7 linked regions of the Sus scrofa genome follow. The protein of the gene in region 7 purifies or fractionates together with the protein of the main gene of each other region. This does not show direct contact. Links are inferred from orthologs where the notes say so. Each region holds a gene or a part of one and is shown on either strand. Other genes may lie near its edges. The genes, in order: PRIM1, PRIM2, FAM96B, CDKAL1, PPAT, POLE and MMS19.

Evidence for each region.
Region 1: the proteins of MMS19 (region 7) and PRIM1 purify together in Homo sapiens (affinity purification with western blotting; 3 studies listed by BioGRID and IntAct, with this or other methods). This does not show direct contact. The link is inferred for Sus scrofa from reciprocal best matches to the Homo sapiens genes MMS19 and PRIM1.
Region 2: the proteins of MMS19 (region 7) and PRIM2 purify together in Homo sapiens (affinity purification with western blotting; 5 studies listed by BioGRID and IntAct, with this or other methods). This does not show direct contact. The link is inferred for Sus scrofa from reciprocal best matches to the Homo sapiens genes MMS19 and PRIM2.
Region 3: the proteins of MMS19 (region 7) and FAM96B purify together in Homo sapiens (affinity purification with western blotting; 11 studies listed by BioGRID and IntAct, counting the BioPlex papers as one, with this or other methods). This does not show direct contact. The link is inferred for Sus scrofa from reciprocal best matches to the Homo sapiens genes MMS19 and CIAO2B.
Region 4: the proteins of MMS19 (region 7) and CDKAL1 purify together in Homo sapiens (affinity purification with mass spectrometry; 4 studies listed by BioGRID and IntAct, counting the BioPlex papers as one, with this or other methods). This does not show direct contact. The link is inferred for Sus scrofa from reciprocal best matches to the Homo sapiens genes MMS19 and CDKAL1.
Region 5: the proteins of MMS19 (region 7) and PPAT purify together in Homo sapiens (affinity purification with mass spectrometry; 3 studies listed by BioGRID and IntAct, with this or other methods). This does not show direct contact. The link is inferred for Sus scrofa from reciprocal best matches to the Homo sapiens genes MMS19 and PPAT.
Region 6: the proteins of MMS19 (region 7) and POLE purify together in Homo sapiens (affinity purification with western blotting; 3 studies listed by BioGRID and IntAct, with this or other methods). This does not show direct contact. The link is inferred for Sus scrofa from reciprocal best matches to the Homo sapiens genes MMS19 and POLE.

Annotation. Positions count from the first base shown.
Region 1 is NC_010447.5:22,086,614-22,090,845, forward strand, and holds the start of PRIM1 (DNA primase small subunit), read right to left. Parts: upstream 2,801-4,232; 5' UTR 2,749-2,800; coding exon of another isoform or gene 2,646-2,748; intron 2,376-2,645; 5' UTR 2,222-2,375; intron 1,933-2,221; coding exon of another isoform or gene 1,829-1,932; coding exon 1,775-1,828; intron 1-1,774. UniProt on the Homo sapiens protein: Catalytic subunit of the DNA primase complex and component of the DNA polymerase alpha complex (also known as the alpha DNA polymerase-primase complex - primosome/replisome) which play an essential role in the initiation of DNA synthesis.
Region 2 is NC_010449.5:28,274,126-28,276,633, forward strand, and holds the end of PRIM2 (DNA primase large subunit), read right to left. Parts: intron 1,101-2,508; coding exon 879-1,100; 3' UTR 501-878; downstream 1-500. UniProt on the Homo sapiens protein: Regulatory subunit of the DNA primase complex and component of the DNA polymerase alpha complex (also known as the alpha DNA polymerase-primase complex) which play an essential role in the initiation of DNA synthesis.
Region 3 is NC_010448.4:27,609,969-27,613,859, forward strand, and holds FAM96B (mitotic spindle-associated MMXD complex subunit MIP18), read right to left. Parts: upstream 2,650-3,891; 5' UTR 2,592-2,649; coding exon 2,444-2,591; intron 2,285-2,443; coding exon 2,205-2,284; intron 1,946-2,204; coding exon 1,820-1,945; intron 1,404-1,819; coding exon 1,358-1,403; intron 719-1,357; coding exon 621-718; 3' UTR 501-620; downstream 1-500.
Region 4 is NC_010449.5:16,567,394-16,570,143, reverse strand, and holds the end of CDKAL1 (threonylcarbamoyladenosine tRNA methylthiotransferase), read right to left. Parts: intron 1,073-2,750; coding exon 881-1,072; 3' UTR 501-880; downstream 1-500. UniProt on the Homo sapiens protein: Catalyzes the methylthiolation of N6-threonylcarbamoyladenosine (t(6)A), leading to the formation of 2-methylthio-N6-threonylcarbamoyladenosine (ms(2)t(6)A) at position 37 in tRNAs that read codons beginning with adenine.
Region 5 is NC_010450.4:55,659,578-55,663,077, forward strand, and holds part of PPAT (amidophosphoribosyltransferase), read right to left. Parts: intron 2,700-3,500; coding exon 2,587-2,699; intron 2,485-2,586; coding exon 2,339-2,484; intron 1,611-2,338; coding exon 1,538-1,610; intron 432-1,537; coding exon 280-431; intron 1-279. UniProt on the Homo sapiens protein: Catalyzes the formation of phosphoribosylamine from phosphoribosylpyrophosphate (PRPP) and glutamine.
Region 6 is NC_010456.5:22,846,646-22,850,145, reverse strand, and holds part of POLE (DNA polymerase epsilon catalytic subunit A), read right to left. Parts: intron 3,261-3,500; coding exon 3,077-3,260; intron 2,188-3,076; coding exon 2,056-2,187; intron 1,928-2,055; coding exon 1,734-1,927; intron 1-1,733. UniProt on the Homo sapiens protein: Catalytic component of the DNA polymerase epsilon complex. Participates in chromosomal DNA replication.
Region 7 is NC_010456.5:108,883,788-108,888,069, forward strand, and holds the start of MMS19 (MMS19 nucleotide excision repair protein homolog), read right to left. Parts: upstream 2,801-4,282; 5' UTR 2,754-2,800; coding exon 2,642-2,753; intron 2,396-2,641; exon of another isoform or gene 1,747-2,395; intron 1-1,746. Other genes in the region: UBTD1 (ubiquitin domain-containing protein 1), read left to right, coding at 3,615-3,684. UniProt on the Homo sapiens protein: Key component of the cytosolic iron-sulfur protein assembly (CIA) complex, a multiprotein complex that mediates the incorporation of iron-sulfur cluster into apoproteins specifically involved in DNA metabolism and genomic integrity.

The sequences.
Region 1 (4,232 bases), on a different chromosome or scaffold from region 7:
AATATAAGCACAAGCAAGAAATTACTGGAGGAAATTTTCCTTATCATATGAGGAAAGCCTCCAATATGAAAGAACGGGGAAAAAATAAACAAAGAAAAAGTGCAACTTTAGAGAAAACAGATGGTGTAACAAAAAAATTAAACTATTATTGATATTCTCAGGTAATATATGTCAGTGAAAAAAATACATGATGCTCTAAAAAACTTCTTGGAGATTTTAAATATAATAGCAGAAAAGGAAACCTCTGAGGAAATTCCCCAGAAAGTAGAGAAAAAGGAAATTTAAAATAGAAAAAAAAAAAAATACAATTAGAGGACATAATATCTGATTGTAGGATTTCTAGAGACCAGAGAAAATAGGTAGGAAAAATTATATTAAAAATTAAAAAAGGGAGTGCAGGAGTTCCCATCATGGCTCAACAGGTTAAGAACTGGACAGACGGAGTTCCCGTCGTGGCGCAGTGGTTAACGAATCCGACTAGGAACCATGAGGTTGCGGGTTCGGTCCCTGCCCTTGCTCAGTGGGTTAAAGATCCGGCGTTGCCGTGAGCTGTGGTGTAGGTTGCAGACGCGGCTCGGATCCTGCGTTGCTGTGGCTCTGGCGTAGGCCGGTGGCTACAGCTCCGATTCAACCCCTAGCCTGGGAACCTCCATATGCCACGGGAGCGGCCCAAGAAATAGCAACAACAACAAAAGACAAAAGACAAAAAAAAAAAAAAAAAAAAAAAAAAAAAAAATTAAAAGAACTGGACAGAGTGTCCATGTGCATGATGGTTTGATTCCTGGCCTCTTAGTGGGTTAAGGATCTGGCATTGCTGCAAGCTGCAGCATAGGTTGCAGATGCAGCTCAGGTCTGGTGTTGCTCTGACTGTGGCATGGGCCTCAGCTACAGCTCTGACTTGACCCCTGGCATATGCCATAAAGAGGAAGAAAGAAAAAAAAAAAAGGGTAGATCCCATTATGGCTCAGCAGAAACAAATCTGACTAGTATCCATGAGGACACAGGTTTGATCCCTGGCTTTGCTCAGTGGGTTAAGGATCCAGTGTTGCTGTGAGCTGTGGTGCAGTTTGCAGATGCGGCTTGGATCCTACGTTGCCATGGCTGTGGCATAGGATGGTGGCTACAGCTCCGACTGGACCCCTAGCCTGGGAACATCCATATGCCATGGGTGCAGCCCTAAAAAGACAAAAGACTAAAAAAAAAAAAAAAAAAAAAAAAAATGCAAAATACTGGGGGAAAATGGTTTACAAACTCAACCATTAGTTAAGCATAATGGTAGAATAAACACATTCTCCAGATACACAAAGTGTCAAATATCTTTTCTTTCATGGACCTTTTCTTTTCTTTTCTTTTTTTGGTTCTTGTCTTTTTGCCTTTTCTGGGGCCCGCTGTAGAGATGTAGAGATTCCCAGGCTAGGGGTCAAATTGGAGCTGTAGCCGCGGCCTACGCCAGAGCCACAGCAACGTGGGATCCCAGACTCGACTGCAATCTACACCACAGCTCATGGCAGCGCCAGATCCTTAACCTGCAGAGCAAGGCCAGGGATCAAACCTGCAACTTCATGATTCCTAGTCGGATTCATTTCTGCTGCGCCACAACGGGAACTCCCATCAAAGAACAAATTTTATTTTCACTACAATCTACTTGCAAAAACTGTTAAAGTGTGGCTCCTTAATTAGAATAAACTCTAAAAATGTATCTCAAAACGCTAGGGGCACCAATCCATTCTTGGTTTAAAAAAACAATAAACTACATAAAAAACTGATTTCTTACTCTGTGGGAATATACCGCGCCTATATCAATCTTGTATGGATTCATTTTCTGCATCTCCTTTTCCAGCTCACTCTGGTTGTTGAAAGATTGGTAGCGAATGTAAATGTCATCTTTCAACGTGAATGAAAATTCACGGTGTTGAAAGTAATTCTTTACCACTGCAAAATGAACATACATTTTAAAAGTTAGTATGGTATTTTATCCAGTTCAGAGTATTAAAACATTAACCAACAAGAAGATATCTTTCACGAACCCTCTGTACTCAACACTGTGCTACATTAAAACAAAAACCAAAACCAAGAACTAGTCCCTAATTTGAAGGAGTTCACCATCCTGCATTTAATAGGGAAAGGTAAAAATGAGGAAAAAGATGCAGAAATATTTTCATGTAGTACCACCTCTCTTTCCTAGGTGGGCACTCAAATTCAGCTGGGAAGAGTTAAGTACCTCTCCTCTTTCAGGAGATGCCCGTCTGTCCCTGATGCAGATTATGTCTCTGCAGCTTCTTGCTACAACCCAGTGGACTCCCTTGCTCCCCGCCACCTCCGCCACCTTCGCTCAGGAACCGAGAAGATTAACACTGCATCAGAGCAGGTAAACGCTGCAACGAAAGTGAGTTCAAACACAAAGTGGGAGGAGCAAAGGCTCTGTCTTTCAGTGCGTGGTGTAGACTGGTCATTACATCCCACTCTAGGCCCATTTACACCTCGGCAGTGGTGGGGAGGGCTCAAGGCAACGCACAAAGGCGCCCGACACAAGGCCTGGAACATGGAAGGCACTTCATATTGTCATTCCAAGGTACCCTCCCAGAACCTCCTCACACTCCCCCCCCACCCCGAGCCATTTCCCACCCCGCTCCCGCCTTCATCACCTCCGCCATAGTTCAGCCAGCGATAGTACTGGGCGTAGGGAAAGAGCCTCCGGTAATAAAGCTTAAGCAGCTCGGGCAGCTCGGTAGGGTCAAACGTCTCCATGAAACGCAGAACTCAACCCAGGCAGGATTAGCACGAGAATTGGCGGGAACCGCACAGTCGAGCTTCCGCAACTGCGCAGGCGCGTAGTGGCAGCGGCCAGCCATCTGCAGGGGCTGTTGGGAATTGTAGTTCTCTTTTGGAGGTTGGCTTGGGTGTGGGAGCGCTACTACGGTCTTCACTCACAGATTTAACATGTAGGTCCACTTCTCTGGTGGGTAGAAGGAAGCCGTGCTCATTGCAGGGAGATCTGCGGAAAGGTGAGCCATGGAACATATTAAGGTTATTAAGATGAAGTGAAAAAGATGTTATCTGCTAACTTTATGACTGTTTTAGAAACAACACATTTAAACAATGTTAACCAGTATCTTTTTAAAGAGGGTTTGGAAATTGGTTCTTCATAGAATAACTAGGTCCAGTATGTGGAAATAAATGATGACCAACCAAATAAGAAAAGCAAAAGCTATTCATTCAAGAGCTTGCCATGTATAGAGTCAGCCACATCACATTACATTTTGGCAAAGGCTCAAACGCAGGCAGAGGAGGGGAGAAAGCTTTGGGGGGGCAGGTTTCACTCTTTTTCTAATGCAAAGCTATTTGTTATGGGGAAGCTGTCTGTGGGCTACCTCAGAGCGGGGTATCCTATGTGACCTATGTGATAGGTTAGGGGTGCATATTTGGCTTTCTGCGGTTGGTCCTAAATTGAGAGTGGGGACAAAAATTAGGGAAGCTGTCAGTTATTAATCAAGTACTGGCTATGTTGGATGGATTGTTATGTAGGGTATTTGGCTTCCTGGAATATCACTAGAGACTTTAGTTTGATTTCCTACAAGTCTGACTTAAAGCAGCCTGACTTCTTGGGCTATTTATTATATAGATAAGGGGGTTGGTTTCCTAGGTAGGCATTGGAGAGGTTGTGGGTCAGAGTTCTGTTTTTTTATATGGTCTGGTCATCGTTTGTTTCTACATTGTCGCTTAAACAGAACACCCAGGAATACTAAAATCAGAGGAAGCTTGCAAAATCATGGAGTGCTTTACAAATTTGAAAGAAGCCTGTTTACTCTTGACATGCACATCTGCCAGTCAGTCTTACCAGGTAGATACATTTCATTACAAATGTGGACTGAGGTGGGCAGTCTGATAATCACCCCAGTGCTGTGTCATTTGAAAACCATTATTTTCACAATAATAGTAGGAAAGCAAGGAGAGTATTCTCTGCTCTCTAGTGGGTTATTATTAGCCTAATTTGAAAGTGATCATGGCCCTTCATCTTGCATAGGCAAAGTGGTCAAACTAGGCACTGGGCAGATCATACTTACTTGAGTATTCCTAGAAATACTATATAAATCTTAGCTGATTTTCACAATCCCTGTGCTTCCTGTTTTGGGTGAATCCCTTGCTGGAAAGGGATTCACTCTAATAGCACCAAGAGTGCCCTGTAGAGTTCTCTTTTGTGGAACCACACTTTTTAATAGGCTTTTTTTTTT
Region 2 (2,508 bases), on a different chromosome or scaffold from region 7:
CAGGCAGAGTGCAGGGCACTGAGATGGGCATTACCACAAGTATCACAATTTTCACCACTTAGCTAATGAGCTTATAGGACTGAACTTGCCAGAGCACTGAGCTGTGGGAGCTGGTGTGGGATCGACACAAGACTTGGCCAGAACCTTCTCACCTTAGTGATGGTCATGTCCCCAGTGAACATAGAGGACATCAGGTGGGGGATCTCCACGGCACATGGTAGAAGACTCCTGCTCGTCAGTAGTATGATTGGTGTTCCATGTTCTGGTGCTCTTCACACAGTTCATCCAGGAGCCCACTATCAAAGGGGCAGACGTTCTTACTAATGAAGAATAAGCTCACGTGGCCAACTTCAAGACCAACAAGAAAGAGGTGAAAAGAAAAACAATTCAACATCTTCACTGGTGACTTGGCAATGTGGTGTCTATTCCAAAATACCACCTTTAAAACTGAAGTAATGTCTAATCTCTTAAGGCATAATTAGACTCTTAAACACAGACACTCTCATTCAACATTTTGATAATTTATTCACAAAGATGGTCCAGAAAAGGACTGGGTCAGAATTACAGTGATAAGGGTTACAATAAAAGCTGTTCTAGTGGTACTATTTCTAGGGGCTGTAACCAATCCAGAAAGCGTCTCATCTCTTAAAAGAGGGCAGAGACCACACCATCCAAGTGCTAGATCTTAAAGCAAAATATAGTGGAGGACATTGTTTTCACTGGCAAGCCTGGCTTCCCAAGAAGTGCGTGCCCACGTCAGTGGATTAAAGTGGGGTAGGGTGGAGGGAGGAGGCAGATGGAGAAGAAAAACACAAAATCATACAACTAGCCAGTAATAGCCGATGAGGAAGCAAGATCACCACGGGCTCAGGAACCGCTCACTGAAGCAGCTCCTCCAGCTCCTCCATGTCCATCTCCAGGGAGGAGTTGAGCGAGGCCAGGGCAGAGGATGCGTCTTTGCTCTTCTGGACATTCGCTCTGGGCTGGGGTGTTTCTGGCTGAGTGGATTCCTTCTTGAGGTCTTTGCCACCATTCAGAATCTTCTGGCTCTCAAAAAAGAACTGGTTTGGATGACTCAAAGAAAAGCCACAGTCATCCACCTGCACAGGAAAGCAAATGTTTACCACATTAATATGTAGCAAACTAAAGGAGCAGGCAGAATGGCAGCAACATGACAATAAAACTATATTGTTTTAAATTAAATTAGAAAAAATAATAAGCAAAGAGAGATATTCCCAACCAAAAAAATCTATACTGAGACAAGTAGTGAATGCAAACAGCCTTTTTTACTCATTGATTTCTAATGTAGACAGTTTCCGTATGTGGGAGAATTCAGACACATGTCCTTTTAATATCTTCATTAATCTAAGGCAAGTTCTAAAATTGGCAATAGCAGTGATGCTCTTGTAGGAATAATCAATAGGAGAGATGCTAACAAAAGCAGATTTGAGAAATAAACACTTCTTTTTAATGATTATGTCAAAAACTTAGTGTTTCAATCTAATTTTCATATCTTATTTTTTTTAAAAAGGAAAGACACTGAATACTAGGCCTAAGTTTGGAAAGTTCTGAGGCCTCTTAATCAAAAGGGTGTGGAAGCAATGGGATTGGCAGCAGGTTTGATCCCTGGCCCGCCACAGTGGGTTGGTGATCCAGCCTGGTTGCAACTGTGGCTTGGATCTGATCCCTGGCCCAGGAACTCTGTGTGCTAGGGTGAGGCCCAAAATAAGAAGAAAAAAAAATAAGAAGGGGGGGTTGTCCCACAAGTAATTAAGAACATAAATTAAAACCCTTAAGCTGAGCAAGCAAATTAAAGAATACAGTTCATAAGGGAAAGTGTTGTACAAAGCTGGTGCTGAAAATACCAGCCAGATTCGTTCAACTGGTGAGAGCCCTATTCTGATAAAACCGATGAGAATCTGGAGATCCCTTGTGGCTCAAGGGTTTAAGGATCTGACATTGCTATAGCTGTCATTTAGGTCGCAGCTGTGGCTTGGATTCAGTTTCTGGCCTGGGAACATCCATATGCTGTGAGGGAAGCCCCCCTCCCCCCAAAAAAACCCTAAAAAAGCACCTAATGAGAATTTGTTGTTGTTTACTACTTTATTAATGTTTAGTCCTTTCAATTTTGCAAAGAAAATTTGTATGTTATTAAATAAAAACACTATTTTCAACAGGTGTAACAGTAAGAGGGCTGGCCCCATGGTAGAGCAGACCAGCTCCAGGCCTCCCAGTGATTGGCTGTGTGGGTGCTCTGGGCAAGTCAGGTAAACTACGAATCTAGACAGGAAAACACTAATGACAGTTGTGGCCCTGGTCAGGTTCGTAAGCTTTAGATGAATTCCTCAACAGCCTGGGTCTTCTCTGCCCCTTTGACCCTCGCCCTCAGCACCCCCCAAGGCTCTGAATGGGGATGTGAGTGTGTCCAGCTCGGTGCTGCTCTGTGGACCAAAGAAGCCAGTGTGTCCAGAGCACTAACCTCTGGGCCTGGCCTGTGTGAGGAGCTCT
Region 3 (3,891 bases), on a different chromosome or scaffold from region 7:
AGAGAGTAAGACAACCAAATGCAATACATGAAACTTGACTAAAGCCTGATTAATAAACCAACTATGAATGACACTTTGGGGAAATTCACATTTGACTGGACGTTAGATATGAGCATCAGGGAACTGTTCATTTGGGGACCAAACAACCACTGTGATTACAAGCTTATTCTTAGGAAGAACTTAGAAGTGAAAGGTCATGTGTCTGCAGCTTACTCTCAAGTATATTTATATTCTACACACACACAAATAAAGCCAATGTTGCAACATGTTAACAACTATCAAATTTAGGTGGTGCTTATATAGGAGTGTTCACTACATTAATTTTTCAATTTTTTTGGCATACTTTTCCTGATCAAACCATCAGCAGAACATTTTCTTTCCTCTGAAGAGACAGTTTTTTAAATGATCTGAACCTCACTGACCCAGTCTCTACAGGCACTACCACCCCCACCCCCAAACCCAGCGTTAATCCCACTGAGATGAAAGACTCTCAGGCATGCTGGAAGAGGAATATAAATAAGGGTTTATTACAAAATGCAAAATGTTAGTTTCTTACTGTCAGTGATTTCAAGAAAACAAGGCCATGAGTCCTGAATGGGACTGGGAGCAAAAATCCAGGTTCAGGAGCGAGCTGACAGACACTGGTTCACAACCTCCAGCAGGTGGGTGTTCTCTAGGGCAGCTGCCACCCGCTCTTTATCTGCGAGCTGCTTGTTCACTGGGTGGAAAGGAGAGAGGTGAAAAATATTTATACCCCCACCAACGAAGTCATTCTCTCTGGGAGTTCCCACTGAGGCTCAACGGTAACAAAGCCAACTAGTATCCATGAGGACGTGGGTTCGATCTCTAGCCTCACTCAGTGGGTTAAGGATCTGGCATTGCCATGAGCTGTGGTGTAGGTCTCAAACACAGCTCAGGTCCCACATTGCCGTGGCTGTGGTGTAGGTCAGCAGCTGCAGCTCCGATGTGACCCCTTCCATATGCCACACCTGCAGCCTTAAAAAGCAAAAGAAAAGAAAAAAGTCCTCCTCTCCTCTCCTTCCCAAGACTCCAAGCTTGATCAGGCTACCCCAAGCACCTGAGCCCACACCTATTGCACCTTTCTGTGACCTCTCCCACCCCGCCACCCAAGTCTGCCTCCTACACTATAAAGCCAGACACACCCTTGTCCTGTGTACTCAGGACAGGGAGAGGGTAGGAGTGGGAGAACACAATAAACACTGGAGACTCAAGTCGGGCCAGCTCCCTGAGGGGGCACCCACCTCGTGCCACATGCCCTACCCTCCATCTTGCCCTACAAACCACAACGGCAAGGGGAAGCCTCCAGGCCAATGCCTTGACATCAGCCCATGCTTACCTGCATGCTCAGAGGCATGGGTCCCTGGCGTAATGTGCACGTCCATCTGGGAGGAAGAGAAGTGGGGTCTGGGCACTCACACACCCATCCACCCCTTTCCGTCTCCACATTCATGCCTCTGGACTCTGGTCCTTCCATTACACCCAAACCCACTCATGGCCACTGCAACTCTACCCAAAAGACTGGCCAACTGCTACTGACTCAAAAGCCTGCCTGGACCCCATCCTTGCTCCAAACCTATCCACAGCCCCCTAAGGCCACATTCCTCACTACTTTTCTGCACTTTCCAGCTTGGGCCTCTAAATCCTGTCCCATCCAATTGGAAAGCCTCCTCCCGGTTTCATCTCTGCGAGCTGGGATCCCTTCAGGTCTCACTGTGTTATCCATGTTCATGCTCTCCACGCCCTCCTCAGTAGCAGACACTCATGCCTGCCCCACGCCTAGGGCTCAGTTCCAACTTACCTTAAAACGCTGAGGAAGGGATCGCAGAAGCTTGACTTTGATGGACAGGCCAATAAGGGTGGCCATACTGCAATGCGGAATGGTGGGTGTGAAAGCCACAGCCACTGTGCTCTCAGGGTCGCTTACCTGGTTGAGGAGGTGGAGTGTTGGGAGACATGGCCCCCTTAGCCCAGAGCCCCTCTTCTTAGTTTACTGCTTCAGGCAAGTTGTCTTAAACACTGTAGGATGCAGTTTCCTCATCTACAGAATAGGCACACACCCCACCCCCTTCCAAAGACCCTTGAGGATTCTGTGAGCTGAGACAACACCCACCCCCCGGAGCAAAGTTGAGCCTTTCTGACTCCCTGGAACAAGTCACTCCCCCGGGATGCTGGAGGTGACTCACCTGAACCCGGACTTGCTCTACTACGTTCAATTCTTCCAGCGTCAGTGGATGCTCCGGGTCATTGATGGAGCGAATCAGATGTGCTAAGTGAAGGAAAAGGGACTCTGCGCTTCTGCCCACTCAGAACCCTCCGCCGGGAATGCTCGGCCCTGATACAGCTCCACCAACTATTGGACATCACCACATCCCACCCCATCCCAGGACCCGTGAACCCGCCCGCGCCCGGCAGCGGCGGATATCGAAGATCTCGCGCGCATCGATGCTGTCTGGAACTTGCTCGTCTTCCTCGCCCGCGGTCACTGGCCGCTCCCCAGAGCGCTCGTAAATGAGGGGGTTCGCGTTCTCCAGAAGGCCGCCCCCAACGCCACCTCCGCCGCCGCCCACCATCGCGGAACCTCGGCCGCAACTGTAGACATGCACTTCCGCTTCTACGAATGCACTTCCGGGGAACGGGAAGGGGGCGTGGCGTGGCGACGGGGTAACGCGAGGGACACGCAGCGCTGCCGGTACTCCGCCTGGGGATAGAGTGGAGCGGTGTTGTAGGCGCGCTCTCCACGCAGACCCGGGGAAATGCGCAGCGCTCCAGCAAAGGCTCGCAGACCCGGCCCCGCGTGCGGGCGGGTAGCGTGCTAGACCGTGGAGTCCGAGACTGAGGCACTTAGGGTTCGTCTGGGATTGACCGAGAAGTTTCTTCAGACATCGCTTCCTCTGAGAAGCCCGCCCCTTAGACTAGGCGACCGCTCCCTTCCCCAGAATTGCCTCTGTCCGTGCAGGGTTCACTGTGTTTTGGAAGCTCCCGGTGGCGCACCTGCAGCCCCCACTGCTCCTTGGGCCCGGGAGTGCCCTCCTGGTCCCCAGCGCGCGGGCCAGCTGGTGTTCTTTAAATATTTGTCCAGTGATTAATGCCTGAACTCGATTTTGGCGGGAGGTGGGTAAAAGGAAAGACCTGAGGTGGGGTTGAGGGTGTTCTTAAGAGGAGTGCCACAGGCAGGTGTGCATTCAAAAGGCAGGCCATTGCCGATCAGGGAGGGGGTCCTCAGAGACCCCCAGAACTGGGACAATAAGGGGATGAAGGCAGAGCCAGGAAATCGATCCCAGAAAGCAAGGAGTTTTTGGAGAGAAGGGCAGCCACTCTTCCCTGCCTTTACTTAGTTGGTTCCCTTCGCTCTGAACGAAGGTCATTCCCATTTCTCTGTCTGTGGGAATCCTGACCAGGGCACCTCTTCAAGGAAGCTCTCCTGGTTTCCCTAATCACAGTTCCGTCTGCTCTCTCTCTCGACCCCCTGGACACACTTGTCGGGCCCATGGCTGTAAGGACAGTGAACTCAGGTATGAGGTGAGGGTTCTTGGTATTGTGTAGAAGCCCAGAAGAACCTGGGGAGAGGGGAAGCTAATGTGCTAGCCCCTGCCTGCCACTGGCCTTGGCCTGTTCAGTCCGTCTCTCCTGCCAAACTCACCACTCCCTGCCCAGTCCAATCTCTAGACCTGAATGACTGCTGGATGGGTTCCTGTGCAGCCACTTGGTGAAAAGCAGAGTGCCCAATGGTAGGGCAAAAAAGAAAAAGACCTGTAAGCTCACCATGCAGCTGGATGGACTTCGAGTGCCACTGAGCGCCTCCTCAGACTTCTGCTTCTCTTAATCCCCAGCTATAGGATGAGGCTCCCAAGCAGGGTGACAGGAACCCAG
Region 4 (2,750 bases), on a different chromosome or scaffold from region 7:
ATAGGAGGTCGGAACATTTTGAGATGAAGGGAAGAGGTGAAGAAGGGTAGGGGTTAAAAAAGAAAACTGTCCCATGGTTACCACTGGGGGCCTGATTTCCCTGTGACTGTACAATCCAAATAACTTATTTAAATTCTCATGGTCATGAGACTTATTCATGTCCTTTTAGTGTGAAAGAAATCACTTCTCTTAGTAAAGGCCACCAATGTCAGGTGGAAATAAGCGATTGATATAATCGATCAGAAATGTTGGGAAAGAGGCAGAGCTTGTTTCAGACAAATCCAGTCCTTGGAAGTTTGTGGGTGCTGAAGAAGTGGGTGATTTTTCAGGCTTTTCAAGATGTCGCCAAGGGTCTTTTAATGGACAGGCTCTCTTGGTGCATTCCAAAAGGACTCGTGTTCCAAAAAGAGGTTTCCAAGTAAACTTTTCAGGAACACATCTGCTGTGGGAAATAAGATGTTTGTAGCATCGAGACCCCAAACAAAGCATAAAGAGAAAGATACATTTTAAAGTGTTTATTGAAAGTGGAAAATTCTTCCCACATAAGGAAGAGGTGACCCGATCCACTGTACAAACAGGTTCTGACCTGAAGATTGGTGATTTAAAGAAAATGCAACCACTTGCATTTCTCGCTAAAAATAGACCAAAAGGAGCTTAATTGAAAAGATATGCTATGGCAGCTGGTGTTAGGTTTTAGGTCAAATAACCAATGGGCTCAACACAACGTGAGACAGGGGTAGCCTCATTAGAGAGTGTGGCTGAAGAGCAGAGACCAGTATAAATTATTGCCCTTTGAGAATTGATGTGGTCGCTCTCCTTCTCTTTGAAGATTTTAATTAGATATTTATTCTCCTTCACAAATGCTTCAGTTGGTTATGTTTTAATTATAGACCTTGACCAAAAAAGCAAACAGAAGAGCCAACAGAGCCAGGCCCACCGACAATCTCAGTGCACAGTCTTGGTGTAGCCTTTGCAGTTGCAGTGCCATTCTGGAACTTGCGGCATTTCGTTGAGTTCCAGTCGAGGTGTGGGATATTGAATTCAGGTGATTCCCAAGCCTATTTCTGAATTCCTATAAAGAGAGAGGAGGAGAGAGAAAAATCAAAGATTTTAAAGAACCAAAAAAAAAAAAAAAAAAAAAAAAAAGCACTATTGTGATAGCAGTTAAGTATTGGATCCTAAAAAGAGCTATTTTTTTAAATTGAGATATAATCGAAATATAACATTGTATATAACATAAAGACTCAATGTTTGTATACATTGTGAAATGATCACCACAAGTTTGGTTATAACATAGTTACATTTTTTTCCCCCTGTAATGAGATCTATTCTCTAATCAACTTGTAAATATACAATGCAGTATGGTTAACTAAAATCAGCATGCTATACATTTCATCCCCAAGATGTATTTATGTTACAAATGGTAGTTTGTATCTTTTGTCTGTTGACTCTCTTCACCCATCATGTCACCCAACTGCCATTGCCACTGCCCCGGCGCGGACTGTGATAGACAACCACCAATCTATTCTCTGTATCTATACATTCAGGGGTTTGTTTCGTTTTGTTTTGTTTGTTTTAAGATTCTACATCTTTCTCTGACTTATTTCACTTAGCATAATGCCCCCAAGGTCCATCCATGTTGTCACAAATAGCAAGACCTCCTTTTTTTTCTTTCTTTTTTTACAACTGAGTAATATTCCATTGTGTGTATATGTGTATATATGTGCCACATCTTCCTTATCCATTCATCCACTGATGGACACTTAGGTTGCTTCCATGTCCTGGCTACTGTAAATAACACTGCAGTGAACATGGGCGTGCATGTATCTTTTTGAGTTAGTGCTTTTGTTTCCTTTGGATAAATACTCAAAAGTTGAATTGCTGGACCATGTGGCAGTTCTATTTTTAATTTTTTGAAGAAAGTCCATACGGTTTTCCATAGTAGCCGCACCAATTTACATTCCAACCAACAATGCACAAGGGTTCGTTTTTCTCCACATCCACCAACATTTGTTAGTTCTCATCTCTTTAGATAATACCCATTCTAATAGGTATGAGGTGACATCCATTGTGGTTTCAATTTGCATTTCCCTGATGATTAGTGATGATGACCATCTTTGCATGCACCTCTCCACCGTCTGTAAGTCTTCTTAGGTAAACTGTCTATTTAGATCCTCTGCCCATTTATTTATTTATTTATTTATTTTGCTTTTCAAGGCCACCACACCCACAGCAATGGAAGTTTCCAGGCTAGGGGTGGACTAAGAGCTACAGTTGCCAGCCTACTCAATAGCCACAGCAAAGCAGGATCCAAGCCACATCTGCAGCCTATACCACAGCTCACAGCAATGCCAGATCACCAACCCACTGAGCAAGGCCAGGGATCAAATCCGAATCCTGTTGGATTTGTTTCCACGGTGCCACACTGGGAACTCCCCGTCTGCCTATTTTTAAAATCAGATTTATTTTTGTTGTTGTTGCTATTGAGCTGTATGAGTTCTGCATATATTTTGGATATCAACTCTGTACCAGATATCAGATATATCGTTTGCAAATATTTTTTACCACTCGGTTGGGTGCCTTTTCCCTTTGTTGATGGTCTCCTTTGCTGTGCAGAAGCTCTTTAGTTTGACGTAAGAAGCCATGACTTACTTCTTCAGCATAGGCACATCCAAACACCCACCATAGGCAAAGTGGGCCAGGTTAGGTATAAGTTACAGTTCCTTTTCTTAAAGGGTCAGATCCAAGTC
Region 5 (3,500 bases), on a different chromosome or scaffold from region 7:
TACATTGGAAATAATAAACCAAGGGAATTCACTATTTAAAAAAAATTAAGCCTAATACATTTCTGAAATCATAATCCTTACTCCTAAAGGAACACAAAATCTAGGCATCAGGTGAAAAGGATAAATAGTGATCTTACGACCTGCAGGTTCAATCCTCAAATCCCCCACATATACTTATGTGAGTTTGAAGAGCCAGGTGAGCCTGTGGGCCCAAGAACTGCCAGGTCTCAATGAGATAAATAACAGATTGATATCAGTACTTAAAGATACTGGACTTACCTTCAAATATACTATCTGGTCTTGCAAAATAAACATATTCGAAGATACAGAAAGCCATTGGGTTTCCTTCAGACCTTGGTATAACATCAAGAGTTTGGACATTATGTCTGGATATTTCCACAATTTCTCCAGGTAAGACTTCACGGTAGTACCTTGGAAATCAATGTTAAAGAAGACTTCAGTAATTTACATACATCTGTAAACCCTAACTTTTTTTTTTTTTTTTTTGCCCTGCCAACAGCATGTGGAAATTCCCTGGCCAGGGACTAAAATCTGTGTCACAGCTGTAAGCAGAGCCACAGCAGTGACAACGCCATATCTTTAACCTGCTGGGCCATGAAGGAACTCCATGTTACCCCTACATTTGAATTTAGAATTTAAAAACATATACACATGCTGACAGGCCTGTACCTGCTGTACAGCACAGAGAACCTAATATTCTGTGATCATCTCTGTGGGAAAGAATCTGAAGGAGAATGGATATGTGGACATGTATAACTGAATCACTCTGTTGTACAGCAGAAATTAGCACAACATTGTAAATAAACTTTCTTCAATAAAACTAAAAAATTGAAAGAAAAAAGAATTTTAAAAAAAGCCCTACATTTTGTTGATTTTTGAAAGAATGAAAGCTAAAGAGAACATTTTTTGAGCATAACTATTTCTTTTCCTTTCTTTCCTTTTCTTTTTTGCTTTTTAGGGCCACCCCTGTGGCATATGGAGGTTCCCAGGCTAGGAGTCTAATCGGAGCTGTAGCCACAGGCCTACACCACAGCTACAGCAACTTTGGATCCGAGCCACATCTGCGACCTACACCACAGCTCACGGCAACACGGATCCTTAACGCACTGAGTGAGGTTAGGGATCAAACCCGCAACCTCATGGTTCCTAGTCAGATTCGTTAACCACTGAGCCAGGATGGGAACTCCTCAACGCAGGATCCTTAACCCACTGAGCAAGGACAGGGATCAAATCCATGTCCTCATGGATCCTAACTCCAAGCATAACTATTTCTTGTTGAAGAGATACTTTCTTTCTAAAATAAGTCTCATGGTGTTTTGAAAAGAAGATGCCAGCTCCAGGATTAGAAGGTACCATTGGAACATTAAGGTCATTGTAACTGCTGAGCCCAATGTACAGAAGGAGCTACATTCATAAACATGAATTCTTGTAGACTCCAGAAACAAAACCCTCAAGTAGAGAAACACACTTTGTATCGATGCTGAAAAAGTGATCTCCTAAGTGAGATACAACTTACCTTGCACCAATAGACAAAAAGCTACAAGATTCTGAAGACACCACCCATCCTTCTGTTTCTGAAGATTTTTTTTCTGTAAATCACAAGACAATTGATTCAGTTAATGAACTCAAGAAACTTTGAAAGATGCTACCTATTTCAAGAGAAGAGTTAAACACCAAATACAAAGATTAAAGAGCTCATGGAATATCAATTACTATGACTTTAAGAGCACACACACGACTCCTCATTTGATTAGAACCAAAAGTGAAATTAATGATCCCAAGTTTCCTTCACACATTATGATTCACGGCTTGCATAAGACATCTGATAAGTCAAGAGAGTCACTGAAATCATGCTACCCAGATGAAAAAGCTGGGCAAAGGATATGAATAGGCCATTCAGACAGGAAAAAATAGGAATGTCCATCAAATATATGAAAAGTGGCTCATCCTCAGAAACGCTCAAGAAATTGTACTTTTTTGGGGTCTTTTATAGGGCTGCACCTCTGGCATATGGAAGTTCCCAGGCTAGGGGTTGAATCAGAGCTGTAGCTGCTGGCCTATACCACCACTTACGGCAACACCGGATCCTTAACCCACTGATCAAGGCCAGGGATGGAACCTGAGTCCTCATGGATACTAGTTAGGTTCGTTACTGCTGAGCCACAATGGGCACTCTAAAAACTAAGTACCATTTTTTTTCTTTTTTACCTAGCTCTACTTAATAAGATTCCTATATCTAAAAATTGCAGGGTGTGCCAAGAGCAGATCAATGACTTGAAGGGCATTATAAAATGATGTTCCTTTTGACGTTCATTACCTTTATCATTTATATCAGATACAGGAATAAGACGACCAATGCACAGAGGGCGATTCCCATAAGGGTCTCGTACGGCATAGATCACGTCTCTGTGCATGATGATGAGGGAGTAGGCTGTGGGTGCTTCCTTCATTAAGTTTTTAATCCTAGAAGTAAGGAGATCATTGAATGAATCCTGTTAATTATAAACACACGAAGGCAAAGCTCTCATTAGCGGAGCTGCAGGCTCAGCTTGGTTCTCTAATTACCTGGCCACCCAGTCTGGGGTGTCATCTTGCTCCTGAGGAGGGGTATATGCCAGTAACTGGGTGATCATCTCACTATCGGAGCTTGTGGACAGACCAATACCATGGCGCAGAAGCTATTTAGAAAAGAGAGAAGCTGTAACCACTGGAGGGGAAGGTTCAGTCCCGCTCACCCAGCAGCCTGCCTTTGGAGAAAGAGATCAGACATGGCGTGGATGCCCGGTTAGTTCTGCAACCCTATGTAGGTATGTATATACCAATGGTAGGAATGTACAGCTGGGATGCAGAATGCTGCTGGAGCGGCGGAGTCTCCGAAGCTTTTCAAACAGGGGGAGGGCTTCGGGAGGGTCTCTGAGAACTCAGTCTGCAGGAATATAGACCAGCAATGGATGGGTGGGGGGAGGAGGAAGGCACAAAGGATTGGGATTTTTGTTCTTTGGCCTTTTAGGGCTGCACCAGATCTGAGCCGCACCTGTGACCTATAGCACAGCTCACAGCAACAACGGATCCTTAACCCACTAAGCAAGGCCAGGGATTGAACCCAGGTCCTCAAGGATACTAGTCGGGTTTGTTTCCGCTGAACCACAACGGGAAGTCCAAGGGTTTGGGATTTGGTTCTAATTTTTTCAGCCCTCAACACTCCTGACAAACAGGTCACATCCCCACATGAGTGGCACACACAGGGGCCCTCTCAACCCAGGTCTGTTGCTGATGGTGATGGTGGCTGTCCATCCCCCCATCATCATGACACAGGACCATGGGCAGAGGTGGGGGCTCCGAGTGGAACTGAACTTTTGGTGGTTATCTCTTAATTAGTTTTTAAAATAATTTCTATTTCATATTTATACTTTTTTTTTTTTTTTTTTTGGCTGTGCCTGTGGCATATTAAGTTCCAGGAGAGGGATCAAACCCTCACC
Region 6 (3,500 bases), about 86 Mb from region 7:
AAATCAAAATTAAACAATTCAAACAATCAGTGCCATTACAGTAGCACCAAACTCCATAAACACTTGAAGTGCAAACATATGCAATACTTATGTGCGGAAAGCCCCAGCATAATGAAATGGAAAGATTTAGCGGCTCATGGATTGGAGGCCTCAACATTAGTTATCAAGTCTCCCTAAATTAATCTATAGACTCAAAACAACTCCAATCAACGATCTAGGAGGATTTTTTTTTTTTCCCTTAGGGGCACATCTGTAGCATGTAGAAGTTCCCAGGCTCGGGGTCAAATCAGAGCTGTAGCTGCTAGCCACAGCCATAGCCACGGCAATGTGGGATCCAAGCGGAATCTGCAACCTACACCATAGTTCACGGCAACACTTGTGGCAATGTCAGATCCTTGACCCACTGAGCAAGGCCAGGGATGGAACCCGCATCCTCACAGATACTAGTCGGATTCGTTTCTGCTGCACCACAATAGGAACTCCCCAGGAAGATGTTTTTTTCCTTGGTAAAAACTGATATGCTGACTCAAACTTTATAAGGTAAGGCAAAGGATTGAGAATAGCCAAAATAATTTTGAAAAAGAAGAAAGTTAAACCAGTCACACACTTAGTTTTAAGACTTGTTGATAAAGTTATAGGAATTAAGACAGTGTGGTGCTGGAGAACAGATGGACATTTAGATCAATGGAGACAGAGAATCAGACTCACACACGTGCACAGCCAGTTTTGAAAAAGACACAAACATAATAAATAGAGAAAGGATAATGTTTTCAACAATTAGTGCTGGAATAATTGGATATGCTTATATAGAAATATGACCATACATAATTGTACAAAAATTAACTTGGAATGCCCGTTGTGGTACAGTGGAGACAAACGAGTCTGGCTAGGAACCATGATGTTGCAGGTTCTAGTGGGTTAGAGATCTGACGTTGCTGTGAGCTGCAGTGTAGGTTGCAGACATGGCTTGGATCTGGCGTTGCTGTGGCTGTGCAGTAAGCCAGCAGCTGTTGCTCTGATGAGACCCCTAGCCTGGGAACCTCCATATGCCACAGGTGTGGCCCTAAAAGACAAAAAGACAAAAATAAATAAATAAAATAAAATAAAATGGTATACTAAATTCCTTTACTACAATCAGAAGTCACTTGATCACTTACTTAATGGACAGTAAGTAAAGTGCTCTGTACAAGATGACGCCTGCTGGGTCTTATCTGGTAATACTATCCCGTCGTCTGATTCAGCCTGCCTTTCCCAGAAAGGCATTTAGCGTCCCAGCAAGCTCTCCCCTTGGGTTCCACAGCAGCCCGGACATTTGGAAAGCCTCCTCCACTTCCTAGTCTGGTCCATGAGCCCCATGGGAGCGGTGTACACCCGCCATCCCACGGCTCACCTGCTCAGCCCCTGCCAGCACCCCCAGATCACCCTCCACCCCAGGGCCTCTGCCTGCCTCTGCTCAGACCTCATCCCCCTCTCAGGCCCTACACTGAGCCCCAGGCCCCATCAGAGGGCCCTACTCACCCGCCCTATCTCTGAGCCCACCCCTCAGCACCTGTGCTCTCTGGGCTCACCTGTCCCTCACTGACTAGTTGTCCCCCAGTGGAGGGCAGGCTCCGTGAGGACACAGGGCTTTCCTGTCTTGTCTACTGTGAGCCCCAAATGCCTCACACAGCGGCTGCATGGAGCATGGTGCAGTGAGTGAGTGTTGTGCAAACTATCAGTGTGAGCGCCCTCACCTTGCACACGTATTTGATGAACTCCAGAGCAGGGTTATTGAGCAGCAGGTGAGAACCAGGGAGGACAGGAAACATTTCTGAGGGCTCAGTGGAGTTCCGAGAGCCCGTGACTTTCTTCTTAATCTTCTGTGTGATGGTGAAGAAGTTCTGCGTGAGTTCATTCGCCACGTAATCCTGTGAGAAGGTGATCATACCTGGGAAGAGAAGCCACATGGCAGCTGCTTCCCTACTTCACACAGCAATGAGGACACCAGGGAAGGAGTGGGGACCCCCCTCCCCTCCAGGAGCACATAGGGTAGGCCTCACATAGCAGGGTGCTCACCGGGAAGGGCTCCAGCTTCCCCCTGGGCCTCCTGGGAGAGCTGGCTGGCCCCCCTCCTCCGCACAGGGGTGCTCCCTGGGGTGCTGCGCCTCAGCTCCTCCTTCATGCTGTGGTACACGGCCACGATGTAGGCTGCAGAGGAGGAGAGAGAGGCGTCGGCAACACCAGGAACAACTGGAATGAGAGGCACCCAGCCGCATGCTGCTCACAGCGCCGGCCAGGCTGGGCTGAAATGTCATTGTTAGTGATGATTCCATTTGCTGCACGTAGATGAGCCAAAGTCAAAGAGAGAAATGAGAATGAGCAGGAGCCCTCGCTGATGCACAAGTTCATAGTCAGAGAGAGTCCTGCACAAAGAAGGCAACACGTATTCACCTTCACACTGGATGTGACCCAGGGTCAGCACATCTCTCCAAGCTCCACCCGGGTCAGTCATTCAAAAAGCGAACTTAAGAAAATGAAAGACTCAAAGGCAAGTAGACAGAAATATAAAATATAAAAGAAACTGTCTGTCGCTCTGTATGTGGGGAAACCTATATCTGTGTCTGTGTATCTGCTAACGACTTATGATGCTCTTCACTGACTGTTCCGATCCAAGGATCAGCTCGGAAGTACAACAGCGGTGGAATTTATGCACTGTATTTGCACATCAACCTAGATAACTTGGTTTGTAAACACTAAACCTTTAGACCCAAATCAAATACCAGTTTCTTATAAGCAGAAATTGAGCCTCAAAGGCCAGGCAGCTGGGGTGGGGGGGTAATTTGTTCAGGAAGTGTCTAAACTTTTCTACTTGGGGTTTAATTTAGTCACTATTTGTGCACATGCACAAACCTGGGGGGGGCAGGACTATGAGCCCTTCAGTGACGCCCCAGGGCAGCCTTCCTCACTGGCTCTGGGCGGGGCCAAGGGTCTCCTCTCTGCCTCTCAGGAGCCCAGACACAGGTCCTGCTCCTGCCAGAACCACCTTATTCCCACTGACTGCATGGCTGGAACATGACATCAAGTGTGGATGACTCACCTGAGACAATCATGAGGAAGTAGCTTTGGCAGGAGGCTGCCTGCGGCAGAAACTGCAAGATGTTCCAGTTGTTTTCCAGCAAATCCTCCACATCTAGCTCCTTAGAGCCTCCCTCCTCCTCCTCCTCCTCCTCCTCCTCCTCCTCAGCTTCCTCCTCCTCCACTCTGCCCTCTTTAGGGGAGTCCTGTTGTGACACAGAGACAACCATGGTCAGCTTTCCCAAACAGCCTTCAGTGGGTGAAGCCGCCCTGGCTGAGCCCAGGCCATCTAGGGTGACGCTTGTCTAGTGGCTCCTGCAGGGCAGCTGCAAGAAGGTCACCTCTGGAACATGCCTGGAGCATAGAGGCATTTAGTACACAGTTTTTTGTTTGTTTTTTGCTTTTTAAGGCTGTACCTGCAGCATATGGAAGTTCCTAGGCCTCAG
Region 7 (4,282 bases):
CCTAGGTGCAACGCAAAGTTGGTAGTAGCTGCCTTTGTGATCACAGGGTGTTCCTTCTGCATTTACAATTTGTAGAAGAGGCCGCTGCTGTGAGTGGCTGAACAGAAATCTGGCCCCTTCAGCACTAATAAAGCTTGACTTAGGCTGGAGGATAGGAAAGCACATCTTACACTAGGGATGCTTCAAAACTCTGTCAACTTCAACAACTCTAAGGCTGTCATCTAACACTGTACACTAGTTTAATCCTTCTCAAATTCACCTTCACCATATGACTTCCTTGCTCAAGTATCTACACTGACTCCAACCACCTACAGTAAGTCATTCAAATCCTCAGAATCTAAGGTTATGCATAATCCAATCCCACCAAACCTTTTCAACCTTATCTGTTATTACCAACCTCCTTTCTTAGTCAGGAGGGCTAAATTGCAAAAGGGCTAGTGTTACAGTCTTGGCAGAGTTGAGTTAAATTTAAACTAGACAATAGTCTAGGCCATTTTTTTTCAGGCATAAAAATGTAAATTTTACAAAGTATTTATAAGAACTTGGCAGTCCTTATTCATGCTTTCTTCTCAAAAGTGTTCTGAATTTGAAAAACCCTAAATTACTGTGTTCATAATGTATAAATGTGAAAGAAGAGTTACGAATGACACCTTTTATAGTAATGTTCTTTGTCTTGGTGGGAGGAGGTATACGAATTTTTCAAAATCAGTGAACTATGCTTAAGATTTGTACACTTTGTCTTACAAGTTTTATACCTTAGTCAACAATACGCATACAAAAGCAGTTAGAGGGACGCATACTGATATCTGCAATTTAAATGGATAGCTACATGATAATGCTAATTATGTTAAATGCTAATGGTAGAATCTAGGTGGTGAGTGTATGTGTGTTCCTTATGAAATTATTTAAACTTTGCTGTATGAAATTTTTCATAATACAACACTGGGGAAAATGACATTGATAATACACTGCCATTGTTAATTGGAAGCACTGAAAACACACTATACTGCATAAAGCTGTAAGAGGTTAAGCTTAGCGGAATGGCTATATCAGGCATTTGCTCCTTGCTGGTTCCACGTCATATTGTACATACCTCTTACGGCCCTTTTCGTAGCGTAGCATACTACCTGTCCAAATGATTGTTTCTCCCACCACACTATAAGTTCCTGGCAGGCAGAGATCTCATCTAATTGATATTTATGTTCCTACTGCTTAGCACTGCGTTTGAAGAATAATGTGTTCAATAATGGTGCTAAGACTGAAAGTAGAATATTGCCATAATGTATAATACTTTTTTGTGTGTGTGTCTTTCTGCCATTTCTTGGGCTGCTCCAGCGGCATATGGAGGTTCCCAGGCTAGGGGTCTAATCGGAACTGTAGCCACCGGCCTACGCCAGAGCCACAGCAACGCAGGATCCGAGCGTGTCTGTGACCTACACCATAGCTCACGGCAACGCAGGATCCTTAACCCACTGAGCAAGGCCAGGGATCCAACCCGCAACCTCATAGTTCCTAGTCGGATTCGTTAACCACTGCGTAAGGACGGGAACTCCTTTTTTTTTTTTTTTTTGGCTAAGCAGGCAGCACGTGGAAGTTCCCCCGCCAGGGATCGAACCAGTGCCACACTCAAGCCATGGCAGCGACAACACCAGATCCTTAACCTCCTGAGCCACCAGGAACTCCCAAAGTATTATACTTCTGACAGGTTCACTTTATTCATTTCCCACATATTTTAAAAGCAAGTGTGTTCACTTTTCAAGAGAAATGTATCCTTTACTTCTCCCCAAACACGCGCAATTTCCAAAAATAAAGACAAAACTTATCTGTACTGACAAGATTATTTTGTATTCTATTACATAGACACAAGGTCCGAAGGCCTCCTAACATTCAATAACTTTTTAGATTTTTCTTTTTCTAAAAGAGTGAAGTCTCAGAATTTCAAGGAAATCTGTCATTTGCTCCGCTCAAATTTTAGATAAGCTGTCAGAACTAAGAGATCCCTAAACTGGTGAAAAGCAGGAAATTGGAGTTCTGGGAAAAATATAAAAACACACACCACATAAAAAAGGCACGAAGCAAATTAATCAAGAACTTGAACAAGAATGGGGGGAAGAGATACGCAGAACATCTCAAACTCCCCCTAGGCTGGTTTCTCTCCTCCTCTCTCCAATTAATTACAGCCAGTCAGAGATTGGGTCGCGCGGCCACTCCCAACATGCCACGCGACTGGAGCTGATGCTGCCGAAGATGCTTCTCGTCACATCAACTTCCTCGAAACAACGTGCTTTCGCGGAGTGAGCACCTGATTCTGAACTGGAGGACCTGCGTCCAAGTCCCAACTCCCCCAGGAAGCCTCTGGCCCTCTCTGGGCCTCAGTTTCCACACCTGCGAAATGGTAATGATTTTCCTAACCCAGGCCGGTGCACAGGGTGGCTATAAACCAAAACGAGGGTCATAAGGGCGCTTTAAGGAAGACTGCAAGCGACTCGCAATTTGTTATGGTTCTTAAGCACGCGGTGCTCACAACCAGCCCGGGACCAATCTCTCAAAGTCACCGCTCCCTTCCCGCCCGGCGCCCGTGCTGAGGCCGCTCCCTCCTGGAGGCCCCCAAGCGGAAGCCGCGCGGCGCCGTCTGCCGTACCTGCAGCCACTTGGTCTGCGGGGCCCTCCTGCTGACCCATGACGAAGTCTTGCACGAGGCCCCACAGGGCGCCCGTAGGCGCGACCGCCTCCAGAGCGGTGGCGGCGGCCATGACGCGAACTGGAGACGGTGGGAGGGGAAATGGGCGGTGGCACGGGATGGGCCTCTCAGCGCACGCGCCTCCTGAGCCAATCGCCTGGCGAAGGCTGAGGGGGCGGGGCGCTCCCTGGATCACGTGCCTGCCGGCTCCAGGCCAGGCAGTTCCAGGGTGGGATGGGACGGCCCCTCCCCAAGGGGCGGGGCCCGGAGTCGGGGCGGTGGCTCAGGGAGCGAAGGCGGCTGCTGGGCACGCAGCCGGGGGCCATTGAGGGCGAATAATTCCCGGCCCAGCTTCCCGGGAGACCCGCGGCGGGGCGGGCACCTGTCTGGGTGGGGCCGAGGGGCGGTACGCACCCTGGGGGGAACCAATGAGAAAACCAGGCCCGGCCCGAGGGGGCGGTGCCGTCGGTCACATGCGCACCTGGGGCGGGCGGCGGCGGCGGCGCGGGCACCGCGAGCCGGCGGCAGGGAGCAGGGCTGGGCTGGGGCGGGGTTAGGCAGGTGAGTGACAGGCTCCGGGGGGCCGGCCCCAGCTGGGAGCCCCGAGCGAGCCGGGAGTAACAGCGGCGGTGCCCGCCCCCTCTCTCCGCCCCTTCAGCGGAGCTGGTCTCCAGCCGGGCACCGTCGCGGGCCCCCCTGGCCCGGCCACCTGGGACTGTGTTGGGGAGTCGGCCACCTCCCTCTTTCTCCTTGCCCGCAAAGTTTGTGGCGAAGCCGGCGCTGGGGTAGAGCGCGCCGCAGGGGGGAGATCGGGAAGCGCCCGATGCCGGGCGGTCGGAGCCGTTGACCTGGGACGCCGCCGTCCGGGGCAGGACCGCGGAGCAGCGGACCATCCCGTCGCCTTCGGTGCATGGGGCCCGGCTGAAGAGCCAGCATGGGCAACTGTGTGGGGAGACAGCGCCGGGAGAGGCCGACCGCCCCGGGACACCCCCGCAAGCGAGCAGGTAACGACCGGGAAGGGAGCAGGGCCACCGGCGCCCAGCCAGTTGTCCGCCTTCTTGCGCGAGAACTGGGCTTCCTGAGCTACCTCCCACGGCTCCTGGCGCCTAGGTTTCCCTGATGGCTGCTTCCGAGGCAGACGGGGGTCCCCTTCCCCGGCCCCAGTGGCCGGGGGAGCCGACTTGTGGCAACTGCGAGCGCTGACCCGGCTGCGAGCCCAACTCGCTCCAACTGGGAAGCTCCGGGTGGGGGTGGGGGCGGGAGCAGGAAATGTTTGCAGACCGCAGCGGGGCCGGCGGAGGGGAGGAGGGCCCCAGGCCGGGGCGCCGCTGGCCTGGCAGCGGGGCCGGGGTCGGACGCCCGCCCGTCGGGGCACGGCGCGGGTGGCCAGTCGTCCCAGAACTCGAAGCGAGCGAGATGAGAACAGGCGCTCCTTCCAAAGACTGTGTCATTATCGGGCTGCAGATCGTGCCTGCCGGAATCCGACTTGCAAAAGCAGCGCAGGACTCTGGGAAAGAAATCTTTATTTTTCCCGCAGGGCTTTTTAGAGCCTCCTGGCCGTCTGGGAGTCTAGAAAAGGTGGGGTGCGGGGTGGGAATCGCT